Cricetulus griseus: one gene and its partners. The main gene of each other region encodes a partner of the protein of the gene in region 3 in a complex. Links are inferred from orthologs where the notes say so. Each region holds a gene or a part of one and is shown on either strand. Other genes may lie near its edges. The genes, in order: Senp2, Uspl1, Sumo3 and Senp1.

The links.
Region 1: the proteins of Sumo3 (region 3) and Senp2 are in contact, whole or in part, in a crystal structure (PDB 2IO1), measured with the Homo sapiens proteins. The link is inferred for Cricetulus griseus from reciprocal best matches to the Homo sapiens genes SUMO3 and SENP2. Residues at the interface, in NP_008867.2 of Homo sapiens: Arg55, Arg58, Arg60, Phe61, Asp62, Gly63, Pro65, Asn67, Asp70, Leu75, Asp81, Asp84, Phe86, Gln87, Gln88, Gln89, Thr90, Gly91, Gly92, Val93, Pro94, Glu95; in NP_067640.2 of Homo sapiens: Gln385, Asp386, Phe393, Lys394, Leu395, Arg396, Trp410, Leu411, Asn412, Asp413, Glu414, Ser439, Thr440, Phe441, Pro444, Lys445, Arg456, Trp457, Lys459, His474, Lys476, Val477, His478, Trp479, Met497, Gln499, Gln542, Asn544, Gly545, Ser546.
Region 2: the proteins of Sumo3 (region 3) and Uspl1 are in contact, whole or in part, in a crystal structure (PDB 7ZJU), measured with the Homo sapiens proteins. The link is inferred for Cricetulus griseus from reciprocal best matches to the Homo sapiens genes SUMO3 and USPL1. Residues at the interface, in NP_008867.2 of Homo sapiens: Gln24, Asp25, Gly26, Ser27, Val28, Arg58, Arg60, Gly63, Gln64, Pro65, Ile66, Asn67, Asp70, Leu75, Phe86, Gln87, Gln89, Thr90, Gly91; in NP_005791.3 of Homo sapiens: Ala234, Cys236, Trp237, Pro321, Gln322, Leu323, Arg324, Met330, Glu331, Ser332, Val334, Phe335, Leu339, Tyr368, Thr378, Thr380, His393, Phe394, Gly395, Pro396, Asn398, Arg407, His421, Val423, Tyr451, Asn454, Asn455, His456, Phe457, His493.
Region 4: the proteins of Sumo3 (region 3) and Senp1 are in contact, whole or in part, in a crystal structure (PDB 6NNQ), measured with the Homo sapiens proteins. The link is inferred for Cricetulus griseus from reciprocal best matches to the Homo sapiens genes SUMO3 and SENP1. Residues at the interface, in NP_008867.2 of Homo sapiens: Gln24, Ser53, Arg55, Gln56, Arg58, Arg60, Asp62, Gly63, Pro65, Asn67, Thr69, Asp70, Gln74, Glu76, Asp84, Phe86, Gln87, Gln88, Gln89, Thr90, Gly91, Gly92; in NP_001254523.1 of Homo sapiens: Gln440, Asp441, Glu446, Arg449, Leu450, Thr451, Lys455, Trp465, Leu466, Asn467, Asp468, Glu469, Asn494, Thr495, Phe496, Lys500, Arg511, Trp512, Lys514, Lys515, His529, Gly531, Val532, His533, Trp534, Gln597, Gly600, Ser601, Asp602, Cys603.

The regions. Positions count from the first base shown.
Region 1 is NC_048597.1:66,882,966-66,886,754, forward strand, and holds part of Senp2 (sentrin-specific protease 2), read right to left. Parts: intron 3,043-3,789; coding exon 2,839-3,042; intron 2,089-2,838; coding exon 2,009-2,088; intron 1-2,008. UniProt on the Homo sapiens protein: Protease that catalyzes two essential functions in the SUMO pathway.
Region 2 is NC_048597.1:84,997,668-85,001,950, reverse strand, and holds the start of Uspl1 (SUMO-specific isopeptidase USPL1), read right to left. Parts: upstream 2,950-4,283; 5' UTR 2,823-2,949; intron 2,670-2,822; exon of another isoform or gene 2,347-2,669; intron 1-2,346. UniProt on the Homo sapiens protein: SUMO-specific isopeptidase involved in protein desumoylation. Specifically binds SUMO proteins with a higher affinity for SUMO2 and SUMO3 which it cleaves more efficiently. Also able to process full-length SUMO proteins to their mature forms.
Region 3 is NW_023276806.1:261,202,512-261,206,300, forward strand, and holds part of Sumo3 (small ubiquitin-related modifier 3), read right to left. Parts: intron 3,276-3,789; coding exon 3,147-3,275; intron 1-3,146. UniProt on the Homo sapiens protein: Ubiquitin-like protein which can be covalently attached to target lysines either as a monomer or as a lysine-linked polymer. Does not seem to be involved in protein degradation and may function as an antagonist of ubiquitin in the degradation process.
Region 4 is NC_048595.1:394,573,791-394,578,117, forward strand, and holds the start of Senp1 (sentrin-specific protease 1), read right to left. Parts: upstream 3,027-4,327; 5' UTR 2,449-3,026; coding exon 2,394-2,448; intron 78-2,393; exon of another isoform or gene 1-77. Other genes in the region: Pfkm (ATP-dependent 6-phosphofructokinase, muscle type), read left to right, coding at 4,124-4,205. UniProt on the Homo sapiens protein: Protease that catalyzes two essential functions in the SUMO pathway.

The DNA of each region.
Region 1 (3,789 bases), on a different chromosome or scaffold from region 3:
TGCTGTTAAGGGAGGTTTCTAGCAATTACTAATGGAGTTCCCCTTCTCCAAGTTTTACTTTCTGTGGTTTCAGTTATCTCAGATCTAGGAATAAGCATTTCATAACTTTTAAAGTGCACCCTGTTGTAAGTAGCATGAGGAAATCTGGTACCACCCACTTTATGCAGAGCTTCTAAAATATCACAACATGATATGGGACCACGTGACTAAAGATGGCAGCCACAAAGCTATGGCAACAGCAGATTTCTTAATGTTCAACAGCCAGAATCAAATGTGTGATGATACAGTTTATGATATTATGAACTAATGAGGTGTTTGAGCAACAGTGGTCCATACTGCATCAGCAGCACCAACCATTTCACTACAGGCTTGTTCTCAAGATACAATACATGTACTATGCACTGTGTGTGCCATCACACACCAACCACCAACCAATGCTGACCGAAACGCCTCACCTCAGACTGGAGACTACTGTACATTATGAATTTCACTGCTTTTACTGTACAGTTTTCTGCTCCTATAGAAACAAATTTGTCTAATTATAGAAAAAAGACTTTTACTATTTTTTTATCCAGCATAAAAGTTTCAAATGAATATGTCTCTGGTTTGTATTACGTTAGAATGTCTGATTTTATTTAAAAATTGCTGTTTGGGCCGGGCGTTGGTGGTGCACACCTTTAGTCCCAGCACTCGGGAGGCAGAGGCAGGCAGATCTCTGTGAGTTCAAGGCCAATCTGGTCTCCAGAGAAAGTGCCAGGATAGGCTCCAAAGCTACACAGAGAAACCCTGTCTCAAAAAACAAAACAAAACAAACAAACAAAAAATGCTGTTTGGGCTGGGCAGTGGTGCTGCACACCTTCAATCTCAGCACTCAGAAGGCAGAGACAGGTGGATCACTGTGAGTTCCAGAATGAGTTCCAGGACAGCCAAGGCTACACAAAGAAACCTTGTCTAGGAGCTGAGCAAGATGGTTCACCTAGGTAGCTGCTGCCAACCCTAACCACTTTAAGTTCAATACCCAGGACCCACTTTTTATTAGAAAATGTTTGATTGCCGGGCGTTGGTGGTGCACGCCTTTAATCCCAGCACTGGGGGGGGGGGGGCAGAGGCAGGTGGATCTTTGTGAGTCTGAGACTAGCCTGGTCTACAAGAGCTAGTTCCAGGATAGGCTCCAAAGCCACAGAGAAACCCTGTCTCGAAAAAAACAAAAAAAAGTTTGATTATATACTATTTTATGTACCTAGGAACACACAGAAATTTCTCAGATGAAAAGGGAAGTGGGGAATGTTTAGGAAGCCCACTCTATACCATCATCCATCTATAGGTATTTCCTGTCCGATTAGCAGACTACAAGGACAGGAGAATACTTACATCCAAGTAACAATTGTTTTACTTAATAATGGCCCCTGAAGGCAAAAGTAACAATGCAGAGGAGGTTCCTGACCCATGGGAAGCATGAGTTTTCATACAAAACACAGTTTTCATACGAAACACAGTCCACACAGGGGGGTCTGCACTGCCTGTAGTTGTAGACGCTCACCCGGAACATACACCTCATCACAACGGGACTACTGTATTTGGAACACTTGCCTGCACAAACCAGACACTTTTAAATATCCGAGTTCTATGAAATGAGCCCCACTCTCAGAAAATACAGAGACACAAGCTGACTTTAGGATTACAGGCCAAAACTCCCAGGATAACAATTTAAATTCAAAGAAATGCAATTCCAGTTAGGATTCTAGCAAATACACCTAACACTGAAACACCTGCAAAGTTGCCTTCCAGGATCCAGAAAACAAACTCTCAGCTGAGATCAGTTCCTAGGTTAGTTTTAGACAAAAAGGTGGAGCTAATGAAGTCCTGAAGACAAACACTTCATATCATAGCATATTACTTCGTAACTACATGTTAAAACAGCCACCCAGAGAGCCTAGTATTAAACAGAGGAGAGATTATCCAATGGAGGAAAACCAGCACAGCAGTGAGACTTTCAGACTTTACTTACAGAAGAATCTCACAGATCCTGTGGCCTTTTTGTCCCATAGAATCCAGATATTTAAGACACTTTTTTCTTAGGTCCATCACCTATATGGGAAAAGGCAAAAGTTCTTAGACAGTCATCCTTTTGTGTCATTTGAACCCAGTCTGGGTAAACGCCAGCTCCTCCCCCTCAGCCTCCTAAGTTCTAGGATCACAGCAGTGCTACCATACCATGCCAGCAACACTGTACACAGGGATAGTAGCACTTTAAAGATTTTAACACAGAGCAATACAAACAGGGTTAGGAACTTTTAGTTAAAGTTGTAAAACATCTCAAAACAGTTTGAGATTAACAGGACATACTTCAATTCCTATACAAAGGCCTAGAAGCTGTCTGTCCATCAGGCATCAATGATTCTCCTGGCATGGGATTCCGGCCCTGCACCTTTCCTCAAGGCATGCCTTTGACAGCTACAAGCTCTTAAAGCTGAACAAATCAACGCTTAGAGAGGACTCTGCAGAGCTTGCCTCTCACACTGTTAGCCTTTCAGTCACTGAAGAATGAGTGACAGCCGCCTTCACAGTTGAGGACAGTCATCTATACTAGAGGTACTATTAGCAGAGGAGTCCTTTCCTAGTATGTATGAGGTTCAGGGACTGATTCCCAAGGCAAGAAAGGAAAGAAAATGGAGACATAGCAAAAGGGGGAGAAGAGAAGAGAGAAAGAGGAAGGAGAGGAGAAGAGAAGGTCAGGGAAAGAAGGGAGGAAAGGGAGGGAGAAGAAAGAAGGGGAAGGAGAGAGGAAGAGAACAACGAGTCTATAACCAAGCTCCAAAAATCAACCCTCTCACTCACCACTAGGCTCCAATGCACCTTCCGATGAATGGGTACCAGAACAAGTTCTTGTTCAAAGAGATTCACCCCTTTGGTCCATCTTTTCACTGCCTGGTAACCCCCAGACTTTAATTTAGGATAGAAGAATGTACTGAATGCATGAAGTGCTGGATAGCCTTGCTTCTTACTCCTTTCCACTAAAAGATTCATGTAAAAATTAATGACCTGTAAAATACCAAAAGATTAAAATTTGGAACACGGCAAATACATTAAAAAAATGAAATTCCTACCTAAATCAGAAAGTAAGGTGCGTAAGGACAGTCCATGCAAGAAGTCAGAAAACAACTGTTCAGTACAAATGAACAAAGAAAGAAAGATGAAGGCTACAGACTGAGCTCAACAGCAAAGTGCTTGCCTAGGACATGTAAGATTCAATACTGGATTCAATTCCCAGTACTGGACCATCTCCCTAAATAAAACCCAGCAGTCATGTGACTATAATTCTGAAGCACGAGTCACATTTCCACACAGTAATGAAAAGGCATATACTACTGTTACGCAGAAAAATTAACTACTAACTATAGCACTACCTCCAAAATATACCTCAATTCGGATATTTCCTGGAAGGAGAAATGCCAAAATATGGAACTTTTGAACAATAATTTCTTCAAATATAAAGTTTTCAAAAATTTTATAATAAGCATATTTACACTTACATTACATTTACAAATGGAAGTATTTTCATGTAACTAGGCTTATGACATAGGAAGGCAGAGTAAATGAGAAAATTGAAGGACAGAGCAGTTGGGTTAACTGAAAATGTAGTAAGAACTAAGCCAGCTTTTGCAGAATATGTACTGATACAGACAACAAATGGAGTGACATTTTATATTTATCATTTGCCATGGTTTGAACACACATACCAAAAGTTCTTTAAGCTTTAACTATGTGCATATATGTGGAAAAATGCAT
Region 2 (4,283 bases), on a different chromosome or scaffold from region 3:
ATTACATATATTTGAGAGCTGCAAATTCCCAGATAAACATTCTAAACATTCTAAAACTGTGGTCTTGAAAGTCCCTAAATGTATTTAGATATTTACAAATGGACGAGAAATCAGAGTGATCACAGGGTACATTTTCCTACATACAGAAAATTACAATTTCATAGAGGCAGCGACTGGTTAAGCAAGTTAGTCAACAAAGTCTGAGAACCTAAGCTTTTCAGTCTATGCACAGTTTGATGCAACCATGCCAGCATTAAAAAGAACATGAACCTTCCAGGCCTACTGATCTAGCAAAACAAGAACAAACAAACCACACATTTTATGTCTTCCTACAGTTCTCAACCACTAACTCTTCACCAGTTGGGAATATTTTTTTGTTTGAAGACAGAGTCTCACTAAGTAGCCCTGGCTGGCCTGGAACTTGCTATGTATGTAGACCAGGCTGACCTTGAACTCTGCTTGCTTCTGCCTCCTAAGCACTGGGATTAAAGGCCTGCAACTATAACTAGCAGAATACTACATTTAAAACGTTACCAACAAAATAGTATGATCTTTGTAATGATCTGTATCAGAACAAAAATTAAGTCCATCTATAGTACATGTAATAAGCATGTACTTAGTATAGTGCCACAGAGTTGACCCCATTTGGAAGATTCAGGACACAACTCAACACAAGAAAACCAGATCTAAAAGACCTTTAGGCAGAGATAGGTTAACATTTGGTCACAGAGTTGAAACCTCAAGCATAAATCTTGACAAAACCTAAATTTTGCATGGTCTACAGAGCCAAGTTCTAGGATAACCATAGGGACATACAGAGAAACTGTCTCAAAACAAACAAACAAAAAGATATATACATCCACACAAATATATACATGCAGTGTGAAAATCTGTGACCACACCTGTAACCACAATACTTGGGAGAGGGAGAGGGGGAAAGGGAGGGAGGGAGGGAAAGTAGGAAGGGAGGGTGGTCGAGCGAGCAGTATTATTGAGTCTCAGTTTCCACAACCTTTAGCTGGTTCTACTCATAACCTATTCACAAAAAAAAAAAAAAAAAAGGAATTACAGGACATAGGAAAGCCAACCCCAATGATTCAGAGTGATACATAGCCTATGCTATGTACCTAAATTTGTTCTAAGAAGTAAATGAAGCCATGCTAACATCTAAGTTACAGTTATCATGTGATGCTATTTCATGATGAGGGAAACAGACAAGTGCACCTTCTGTCAGTCTGCATTAACTCTCAGAAGAGAAACCTGCAGGCTCCTCAATAAATTGTTCATGAAACTTTTTATCTACCTGAAGGTCTAGGAAACTGTTTGGAATGGTTCTTTCTCAATATAGAAGTAGAAATGAGAATCCTTCAAACCTGCTCTCCTGATCCTATCATCCACTATTTCAACAGGAAGGCACGGCACATCCCAACATGGTGGTACATGCCTTTAAGCCTTTAATTCCAGCACATGGATCTCAAGCAAGATAGTGGTAGAAACACCAAACAATATTAAGACACTCTTTTTCTGCCAAAGAATATTCATGTTTAAAATTCCAGAAGTAGGCTTTCCAGATCTTTATTTATTTGTTTGTTTATTGTTTTTTCAAGACAGGGTTTCTCTGTGGCTTTGAAGGCTGTTCTGGAACTAGCTCTTGTAGACCAGGCTGGTGATGAACTCACAGAGATCGGCCTGCCTCTGCCTTCCGAGTGCTGGGCTTAAAGGCCTGTGCCCCCACCGCCCTGTGGCATTCCAGGTCTTTAACTCCATCTTATATACAAAATCCTGGGGTGGTTCTTACACCTCAATTGTCCCATGACAACTATCTTCATTATCTTTTCTTCAAAAGTATCCTGACCCTCCCTGTATGGTGCTTAAATTTGGCATCTTTGGGCTTCCAAAGAAAAGTTTGACTCTGCTACTCCCATCTTTCTCATGGATGCACAGTGGATGGTGCCTTGGAAATGTTTGAACCCGTCTCTCTTTCCATTGATACCACTGTCAAAAAGACAGTTCAGCTTCAAATCACCTACTTAATCCAAAGCTCAATACAACCTAAATTTGTTCTAAGAAGTAAATGAAGCCATGCTAACACCTAAGTTAGTTATCATGTGATGCTATTTCATGATGAGGGAAACAGACAAGTGCACCTTCTGTGAGCTTGTTACAAGGTGGAGACCAACCACGTTTCCCAGCCTTCATCCCCAGCACTTTCCCTCTCACACCCAGCTCCCTTCAACGTCGGTAAGCCATGGGCATTCCAGAGACCCTAACGGGAGTAATCAGCCTAGAACGGATCCAGTTAGCAAGCAATCACGAGAGGGACGTGATTAATTAAATTTCACTCACTGCATGTGTAATGTGGAAACCTGTAATAGGTTCTCGAAGAAGGGCCTTGTATCCGTCGGTGCTTTACCTCCCGGCTAGGCTAACGAGCTGTGCAAGGCAAGGCCAACAGACTTAAATCCGAGGCAAGGGGTTGGCTTTCAGAGTCCAGTTCGCTTGGTACCCAACCCAGCTTCCCGAATTTGAGACGGAAAGGGCCACGCGACGTGAGCTTCCAAAGCCAACCAGGGAAGCCCAGGAGGCGCGGCGTTCCGTTACCCTGCCCATCTCCACGCTTTTCGTGGGGCGGACACAAACTCTGGTTTCTATTCAGCGTTTACCTCTTTAAGCCCAAACGGACCCTGATCCCAGTCGGCACCTCCATCCTTCCCACCTAAACCTTGTGCCCAGCCCAGCCTTTCACCATGCCAACGACCCACCCCGAGCACTCCAGCCGGCCCAATTTCTACTTCCAGAGACAATTACTCTCTCTCCCTTACCGGCCCGAAGTACAGCCCTTCTTCGTGTAGAATCGGTCCGAACTCCTGTTCCAGCTTGAGCTCCACACCATCTACCCGTAACGTTCAACCCACGTTCCCCTCGGACGACTCCACCCCCACCGCCGTCTCCGCTAGGAAAACAACTTCCGCTTGGGCGTCCGCAGCCCAAGAGCCTCCCCCCGTATCACCTTCCTGAAGAGCGCGCCGCTTGAAAGCACGCGGGTAGGGCAGGGGAAGGAGAAGACGAGAACACTTCCGGCAAGGCTCCGCAGAGGCGTGGTTTGTCTTCCCTTCAGGCGCAGGCGCAGTCGGAACTGCGGCGCCAGGAGGGGCGGGACCCATAGCTGCAGAGCCCGCTAAGTGTGACTGAGGGGAGAGGAGGAGGGGACGGTTCTGGAAGCTGCTGGAAAGCGCCCGAGTGACGGAGGTGACGCCAGCGGCCAGGGGGCGGAGCGTGATTAAAATTAGTGCGCGGCCCTGAGCGGAGGGATTACGCGGCTGAGGAAGGAGTGGTCGCCCGGCGGCGGCGTGCGCGCAGGCCCAGTGACCTGCGTGTGGTCCCCACTGGCCAGCCATCATGGCGGCCGCTTCCCATAGTTCGTTCTCCCGGCCGCGGCGCCACCGTACGTGTTCACAAAGGGTCACCACACACGGAGCTGCCCCTCCCTTCCCTAAACCCCTCCTCGGAGGCCAGGGGCTTTTCCTTGCTTCCCTCTCAGATCTGCTCACGGTAAGGGGAGTAGCGAAAGACAAGCACAGGGCCGTACGTGGTTAGCCTTGACCCGGGGTGGCACCGAGCAGCCGACCTGCGCATCTCAGCGGCCCTGCCTCCTCTAACTTGAGAGGAGGGGAGTTCTCGAGTTGCTAAGTTTTTAGAACTGCCTTCGCAGGAAGGTCATGTGGTGTGAGGGACGTCCGCACTGAATGCGTTCTTGAGGACATCCTATTCCTTGGAGTCCTTTGGGTCGATCGTTTCCGTGGCCTGGGACAACGATTTGGATTTTCGGACCCTTTCTTACAGGAATCATGACTGGCATTTTGGACTGCGGTTCTGTGGGGTTTCCTAAGTGGCCTTAAAGGACTGTGTTCTGGCAGAATGCTGATAGCGTGCTATTGGGGGGGGGGGGGACAAGTACGCTGGAGAAAGAAATTATTCAATAAAAGAATTTCAGTTTGTGGTACTTAGGAATGCAAATCGCTGATCCGTCCAACAGAGACTGTTAGGGTTTTTTTTCTCCCTCAAGACAAAAATAAACTGGTTAGGTTTTGCTTTTTTTTTTTTTTTTTTTTTGCGTTTGCATTTGCACTACATAATGTACTGGTGTATTTGTTGTAAGATTGAACTAGTTAAGATTTCTTTTTATATGGATTATGAAATTTTGAGAAAGTATTTTTAACTGAAATAGTAGCCAAGATTAACAGGATTATTTCTTGTTCAACATGTTATTTCCATTTTTAGAA
Region 3 (3,789 bases):
TTCCCAGGAAACCTAGTGCCTTTCAGATCAGCATCTGGGACCCTCCAGAGCTCCCAGTTCTAACACAGCGCCCTGTGGACGTGCAGCCTCCGCCATACTCTCTTTCCTGCGGTGGTTCACTGCTTCACTCTTAAAATACAAGCAGAAGCTGGGGACATTTAAGAAAAGACCCTATGGGGCTGGAGAGATGGCTCAGGGGTTGAGAGTACTGCCTGTGCTTCCAAAGATCCTGAGTTCAATTCCCAGCAAACACATGGTAGCTCACAACCATCTGTAATGAGATCTGGTGCCCTCTTCTGGCCTGCAGGGATACATGCAGACAGAGCACTGTGTACATAATAAATAAGTCTTTAAAAAAAAACAAACAAAAAGAAGGGGAAAAAAAGACCCTAACATGTGAAAACAGACCAGGGGAAGAGCATGTTACAGAAGTGACATGCTTTCCCAGTGAAGAATCACTCCACACACTTAGAGGTGAGGGAAAAGCTCTTTAATAAAATAGCATGTGTCTGGCTCTGGCTAATGCCCAAAGGGGAGGCCTCATATAGAAGATTTTACTAACTCATATACACCCGAGGCTTATGGATTTCACATATGATGTCATCCTCAAATCTCTGTCAGGTCACCAGGTCACACTTTGAACAACATAAACAGACAGGAGATTCAGTCTGGACACTCAGGCAGATGTGAGGCTTACACAGCAAAGGTGCTGCACATTGCCAGAATTACTTTAAGCATGTCAGTGCAGTTCTTTCAAATAGTTGTTACCTGGGGTGGTCTTGTCCACCAGACAGATTATACATTTTCCAGTGAGAACTGGGGGCATTATGGCAGGCTAAGACTTAACACGGTTGTGGCCGTGCTGGGCCCCTTGTGCTGCATTGTAGAAGCATGGTATTTGATATGGGGATTGGACTAACAAGCTGGTTCTAAGTCAGGTTGTCTCCTTTGTTGAGGGAATAGAGCCCAATGGTCAATCCTGATGAATCAGCAGTTACATCCTAGCATCCTACATTTCTCTTATCCAACAGGCCTGGTTAGAATACTACTTATCTTTGGGGTATTTTGGAGGCAGTGCTCCTTTAGCTGAATTCTACTTTGTATGACTTCATGTCTCCTAAGCAAATCTACTAGTAAAGGCTTTGTAACATCATTTTGCTTTTCTTCAATATCATGAGGCAGAAAAAAAAGGAAGGGGGTGGAGCAGTTAAAACTTAAAGCTTCAATAAAGCTAAAAACATACTTATACATGCTCTCTCTCTCTCTCTCTCTCTCTCTCTCTCTCTCTCTCTCTCACACACACACACACACACACACACACACACACACACACACACAAGAACACTCTAGAAAGTTGCTACTAGGGGAAAAAAACACAAAACAGGAAAAGACAGAATTTGTGGAAACTAAAAATCATGACGAGCAAGAATGGCCTATAAAGTGGGAAGATAAGGAGAGGGAAAAGTCAAAGAGACAGCAACAGTAGCACCCAGTGCAAAGGGGAAAGACAATGGTCAGAGGCAAGCATGGCTGACTGCGGGAGGACCGAGCACTCCAAACATGAAACACGGCAGAGGCAGATGTCTGCCTACAGAGTAGTGAGGACAGTCAGAGTCAGGGTTATAGCTGGAAAGGGTCCGGAAAGCACCTCCCCAGAGGGATAAGAATCACCTCCAGAGCCCCTGCCGAGATGACAGTGAATTATGGCACCTCCCAAAGCAGTGCACCTCAGCCGAAAATACTCCATGCAGCCAAGCATGCAAGTCCCTGTCAGATACAAGGGATGATGTTCCACACAAAGAGGGGGAATTCACACACACACACACACACACAGATACAGTAGGAAGGCTACGTGAGTCTCCAGAATGATTCTCAAAAGGCTATGGGATGGCAATCATGCAGACACCCTCACTCCAAAGCAATGGTTTAGGTGGGGCCAGCAGGAGGCTCCAAACATTGAGGCAGCTGATCTAGTGTGCCTCCCACCCCTGAATGTGGGGGCCTCAGCAGAAGATTAGGGTACAAGGAAACATACATGAGAGCAAGCAGACTGAGCAGAACACAGGCAAGGAAGGGCCCTGCACACTGGCACAGTCTAAGTAGTGGCACACAGCACAAGCAGCTGACTCAGCTGGGAGGGCACAGGGGACACAGCGTCCTCAGAAAGTTCTGTCTCACCTTTCACAGGTGAGAAAAGTACCCAAGGTCAAAACCTAGAAGACAAGAGGGCAGGTGCACTGTCTGCAGGGCTTGAGAGCCAGGAAGGAAAAGCACAGTATTGCCTGGCAGAGCACGTTCAACAAAGTCCCAAGGCAGGAATGTGGCTATCAGGGCAGTAGATAAAGGGCAGCAAACAGCTGTGTTTGCAAGCACTTAAGGGCAACCTTGAACCACCATATTGAGATGCCACTGCCCACACCAAAGGGCAGGACCCCCTACCAGATGGCAGGGCTCAGACAGGAACTGGCACGTAGGTCTATGTGCAGCAGGCCAGGCAGCCACTGGGGCAGACAACAGAGGAGCAAGACCAGGAATCCAAGGGCTCCCGGTGGGCTGGAGCATACCCACATGCCAAAAGGTCCTTAGTGAGAATGAACTAGATGGATGAACCCAAGCATCATGTGTGCCAGAGCCATGAGTCCACACCGACACTGACAACAGCGAGCAGAAATGACCAACCCAGCTGGTCACTGTTGGGGACAAAGGTCAGTCAGCATGCTATTTTGAAATGGTAATTAGGGAGAAGATAAAGTGTTTCCTCGATTCCCTAAATAAGACAGAAAATCAAATTGCCCATGAGGTCGGCACAAACAAGCGTAATTGCATGGATATCAGAGGGAGGAATTGGAATCAGCACTGATCCTTATCTGCACACACCACAGAACATCACCACCAGACCCAGGTGGGACCCATGTGCTGGCTGATGGACTGTAATTACCACCACCATGATGGTGTCTATGAGGAAGCAAACCCACACTGGAGCCTGCTCAAGCCTCAAACTCCACCTTGCCATTTGCAGGAAACCGGCCGGGGAGAAGACACACTATAAGAGACATGCAGCTAGCAAAACCCAGGGCAGCAAGGGCACACCTGCAACACAAGCAGACCCCACAGGACTTCCCCACCCCGAATGGGGCTCTACCTACCTGCCTCTCACAGTAGGCCTTCATCAGCTTGCTCAGTGGGGTGTGCCTCTTGATCTTGAACTGTACCACTGAGCCATCCTGCCCCGCAACTTTCAGGTTGATATGGTCATTCTCTGTCTTCACTCCCTCCTGAAAGACACAGGAATTGGGACTCAAAGCCAGCTCAGAACCACCAGGGTTTAAAACGTAAGTCCTTAGGTAAGAGTTGTTGTTTCAAGTCTTTAAAACCTACCTAATTCTTAAGACTCCCCCAGCAGCACTGCTCGTGTGATTGTCTTATTTTTACACAGAATTTATTTTTAACCTACATTTGTTAAGCACCGTGACAGAAACAGTGGTACAAAGCCAGTGTCCTCACAGACAACCAATTCAAAGACAAAAATCTACTCATTAGATCTAGGAAGCCAAAGAAAACCCATCTTTATTTTAAAAATGACTTATGAGGCCGGGTGTTGGTGGCACACGCCTTTAATCCCAGCACTCGGAATGCAGAGGCAGGCGTATATGAGTTCGAGACCGGCCTGGTCTACAGAGCAAGTTCCAGGACAGGCACCAAAATACAGAGAAACCCTGTCTCGAAAAACAAAAACAAACAAACAAACAAGACTTATGAGACTGGTAAACACATTTGCATGGTTTTATA
Region 4 (4,327 bases), on a different chromosome or scaffold from region 3:
TGCCCTGCATTAAATCTTGCCTTGAGGTAACTTCTTGTGTCTACTTGGGTTGATTCAGAGCCTCGGATCACAACAGTCTGAAACCACAAGTGGTATTGAATTGTATATGCACACACACATACATACACACTTCCTATACATATAGCTCTAAGAAAGTTTAATTTAATTTAGAATAAGAGATTAACAACAGTAACAATTTGGGAGGCAGAGGCTGGTAGATCTCTATAAGTTTGAGGCAGTCTGGTCTACATAGTTCTAGGCCAGCTAGGGTTATATAACAAAACACACACTCTATGTGTATGTGTTCTCATGAATAGTCTATCTCAAAATATAGAATTTTCCATCTATTTTCTAAATACAGTTGACTGTAACTGTAACTGCAGAAAGTGAAGTTACAGATAATGAATTTTCCCAGAAAAGGGTTGGGGTAGTTAAGAGCCTAACTGCTTGGAACTACGTAATTAACATAACCACACATGTATACACACCCCCACTTTTAGTACCATAGTTAAGACTGAGTACTTGGTTCACAAGTCCACAGCCATTCTGAATTCTCCAAGTATTCAAGGGACTGAGATGTCAACAGGCTTTTTCAATGGTCACAATAACAAAGAGCACACAAGGAAGGCTGCTTCAGTGAGCAGCCTATCAACCAAGGTCACTTTCTAATTGTGAGTAGCCCACTCCACCCATCTTTTTTAAAAAGACTGCCCAGCCTGGTGGTGGTGGCCATGCTTTCAATCCCAGTGCTTTCGAGGAAGAAGCAGGCAGATCTCTGTGAGTTCTATGACAGCCTGGTCTAGAAAGGGAGTTCCAGGACATCCAGGATTGTTACACAGAAACCCTAACTCACAAAAAAAAAAAAAAAAAAAAAAAAAAAAAAAAAAAAGGAGAAGGAAAAGACCAATTTAAGAGTATGGTATCCAGAACTTGGACGGTAGAAAGATTCCAAGTTTGGAGTCACTCTGAATTATACAGCAAGATGCTCTCTCAAAAAGAAAAGAAAATCTGCTATCCAGAAGAACAACCCCAGTTAATTTCTTTTTCATTTTAGAGATGTGGAAGGGGAAAACCTACTACAAAGTCAGTAATTCAGAAAAGTTAAATGACTTGCATGAAATCACACCAATGAGGCCAAAGGAAGAATTCCCCAGCAAGAGCACATCTGAAGCACAGCACAGCCTCACATCCCTCAAACACCCTCATTCAAAGATTTACCTGGGCAATTGAAAAATAACCTCCGACTAGCTTTGGTCATCTATCCTGGCTTATATGTTTAGATGGCTAGAGCTCTATGTTTACACCTTAATACAATACATCTTGCTTCTGCGGTGTGCTTCTAGTACCTACGTTTATAATAGTGTTGGAAGAGAGTTAAAAAACAACAACAAAACCAAGATTCTGCATGAAGTCATAGATAAGGAGCCTTAGATGTCATCAAATTCTAGCAAGGATGACAATTTTTTTCTTTTAAGAAAATCTTTCTTGCCGGTGGTAGTGGCACACATCTTTAATCCCAGCACTCCAGAGGCAGGGCCAGGTGGATCTCTGTGAGTTCTAGACCAGCCTGATCTACAGAGTCAGTTCCAGGACAGCCAGGGCTGTTATAGAGAAACCATGTCTCAAAACACCAAATAAATAAATAGATAAATAAATAAACAAATAAATAAATTCATAGGCTAGTAAAGGATGCCAGATGTATTCACAGATCCAGCAAAACTGGTACAACTAGTAGGAGAAACAGATGTCAATGAAAGAAAGAAATTACATCACTCTTTAGCCACAAGTGGCAGAACCTGTTTGTCTACTCATCCACTTCCTCTTTAGACGTAATCCAACAGATGAGTGACAGGATATCCACTTTTGCAGTTGGGATAATTAACTGAAATCAGGTAAAATGAATGAATGAAGAAGCACTCTAAAAGGGACAGGGACTGGGAGCAGGCAGTCTAATTGGAAGATTAAGGTCATTCGTTAAGGTGTCACTGTAACATCAAAGGCACTGTACTTCACATGTCAGCAAGAGTCCTGAATGTAGGTAAAAGGCTAGATCCTGAATACAAATGATCTTTAGGGAGAATACTTATGCATATTACCTACTTCATCCAGAATTTCCCATTACAACGAAAAACTTTAAGTCAAACAGTTGACAGGCTATAAAAGACGACAGAAATTGTTACAGGAATCACCACCGCTCTAACACAAGAAGTATGTCACACGAACTAAATAATTTTAACAAGTGTGAGTTTAAAGTGATAAAGGAGCGAGTTATTGCCAACAAGATAACAGAAAAACTGTAGAGGTACTGATAAAACAGAAATCACCAAGCTCGAGACCAGGGAAACCTAGCACGTATCCAGAAAGATCACGAAGCAAAGGTTCAAGACAATTACCAAGAGGCGATGAGCCAGGTAAGAAGAAAACTGTGGCAGTTAAGGGAGTTTTCATAACCTGTGCAGGAGGGTCCAGACGTTTCTCTCTGGTGGTGGCACTAGCGATATCGCATCTCAGGGAAATACCACAGGGTAAAAGAGTTGTAGAATTGTTTGCGTGGGACACAGAAGTAGTCGAGAAGTATCATTCAGGTCTCAAAGAAGACAGGTGAAGCAGGTGGGATTGAAAGCTGAACTTCTTGGTGGAAACAGCTCTCTCTCTCCCTTGGAGGGGACCCTGCTCTGGCGGGAAACTCCAGGAATCCCAACCGGCCTTTTTCTCTGTGGAGAAGTAGAGCTGGGCGCTGAGAGGGGCCTGCTGTGACCGCCGGGAGACGGCCTCTCCGCGGGTCAGGAGACGGAGGCCTCAAAGGGCGGCCTCAGGAAGCCCAGCTACCAGCCCCGGGTCAGACAGCCGCCACCGGACAGCAGGGGGGAGTGGAGGTGGTCCCAGGGGGCGGGGCGGAAGAAAAAGCACAGTCCCCACCGCGGTCCTCGCTTCCGCTCAGCCCCGCGGAGGCCGGCGGGCCCGGTCCGACACAGACTCCCGGCCCAGTCTCCCTCCATCCTCACCCCTCCCCCAGTTTCCCGCCGCCACTCACCGAACCGGAACCGGCTGCTAGGCAAAGGAGTTTCCGGCCGGGCTCAGAACGCAAAGCCCGGGAACCTCCGTGAACCGGAACCGTCTTTACGGCACCGGAAGACGGCTGGGCAGCCGCCGAGGAAGAAAGGGGGTGGGGCAAGAGGTCAAAGAGCAGAGTTACGGACTCGGGGGACGCTTGCGCGAGGTGGCGAGGCTGAGAAGCCAAGGAAGCGTTTGAGTCTAGTCTTAATCGCCCCGTCAGGCCCAGACTGATCTTTTCTTCTTTCTCACACTTGGAGTGCTGTTAGTGCGCCCACCGTCCTTTGATTTTCTCTGTCCCTCCGCTCCCTTACCCGCTGTCTTCTGGTTCCGTTCGTTGATTTTTTTTTTTTTTTTTTTTGCTTAGGTTCAGGTTTCCATGGCAGCTTTTCGCTGTGGCTTTACATAGTTGTGCCTTCCTTGACAAATGAGGATTTGAGATCTAAGTCGATTTCAAACTATATCTTCTGGAAATTAGTGTGCATCTTGTTGCGCTTGATTGATCACAGGAAGTAGGGCTGGGGTAGCAACCAGAGACTGGGAAGAGAAACTCCGGGAACATCTTAGCTTAGACTCTAACAGCCTGCAGAACCTTAAGTAACTGGAGGAATTTAAATCAGTGATTTCTAATGGGGCACACCAGAGGTCTTAAACATGTAATCTATGCCAAACTTTTAAGTTTGTTCATTCAAATTATTTACCAAGCTCCCTAATTTAGTAGGTCTCTGGGTCAGACCCTACTTAGAAGCCTTGGAGAGGTGCTTCAGAATTCTAGACCCAGTTAACTGCCTGTCTGAATTCAGTCTTGAAGTAGGGAAAACCTCTGAAGCTCGCAGCCTTTTCCATACTATCAGCAACTGGGAAAGGGAAGGATCTGAACTTGCTTGTTCGGGGATCCTGACTTGTATATATAAAAGTAGATTATGATATCACCTTATATACTGATTTTTTATATGGCCAAGTCCTAAAACCCAGCAGTATTAAGTATCCCTAGACCATGTCAACCTTTGACACTTTGTTCTACATCTATTTATTTGGATCAAATTCTCTTTATTTCTAGGAAATAGCCATGAGTAAAAACAACATTCGTGTGAAATTTTTCATGTGTGTGATTAAGGCTCGACGAGTAGTCAGGAATGCTCAGAACACAGGTACCATTGATTAAGCTACAGTGGCAAGGGATGAGTTTCTCAGAGCTATACAGGATGAGAGCTTCTGGTATAATCATAGACTTAAGGGGTCAACTGACCAGTTTATTTCTATTCCTAGTTTG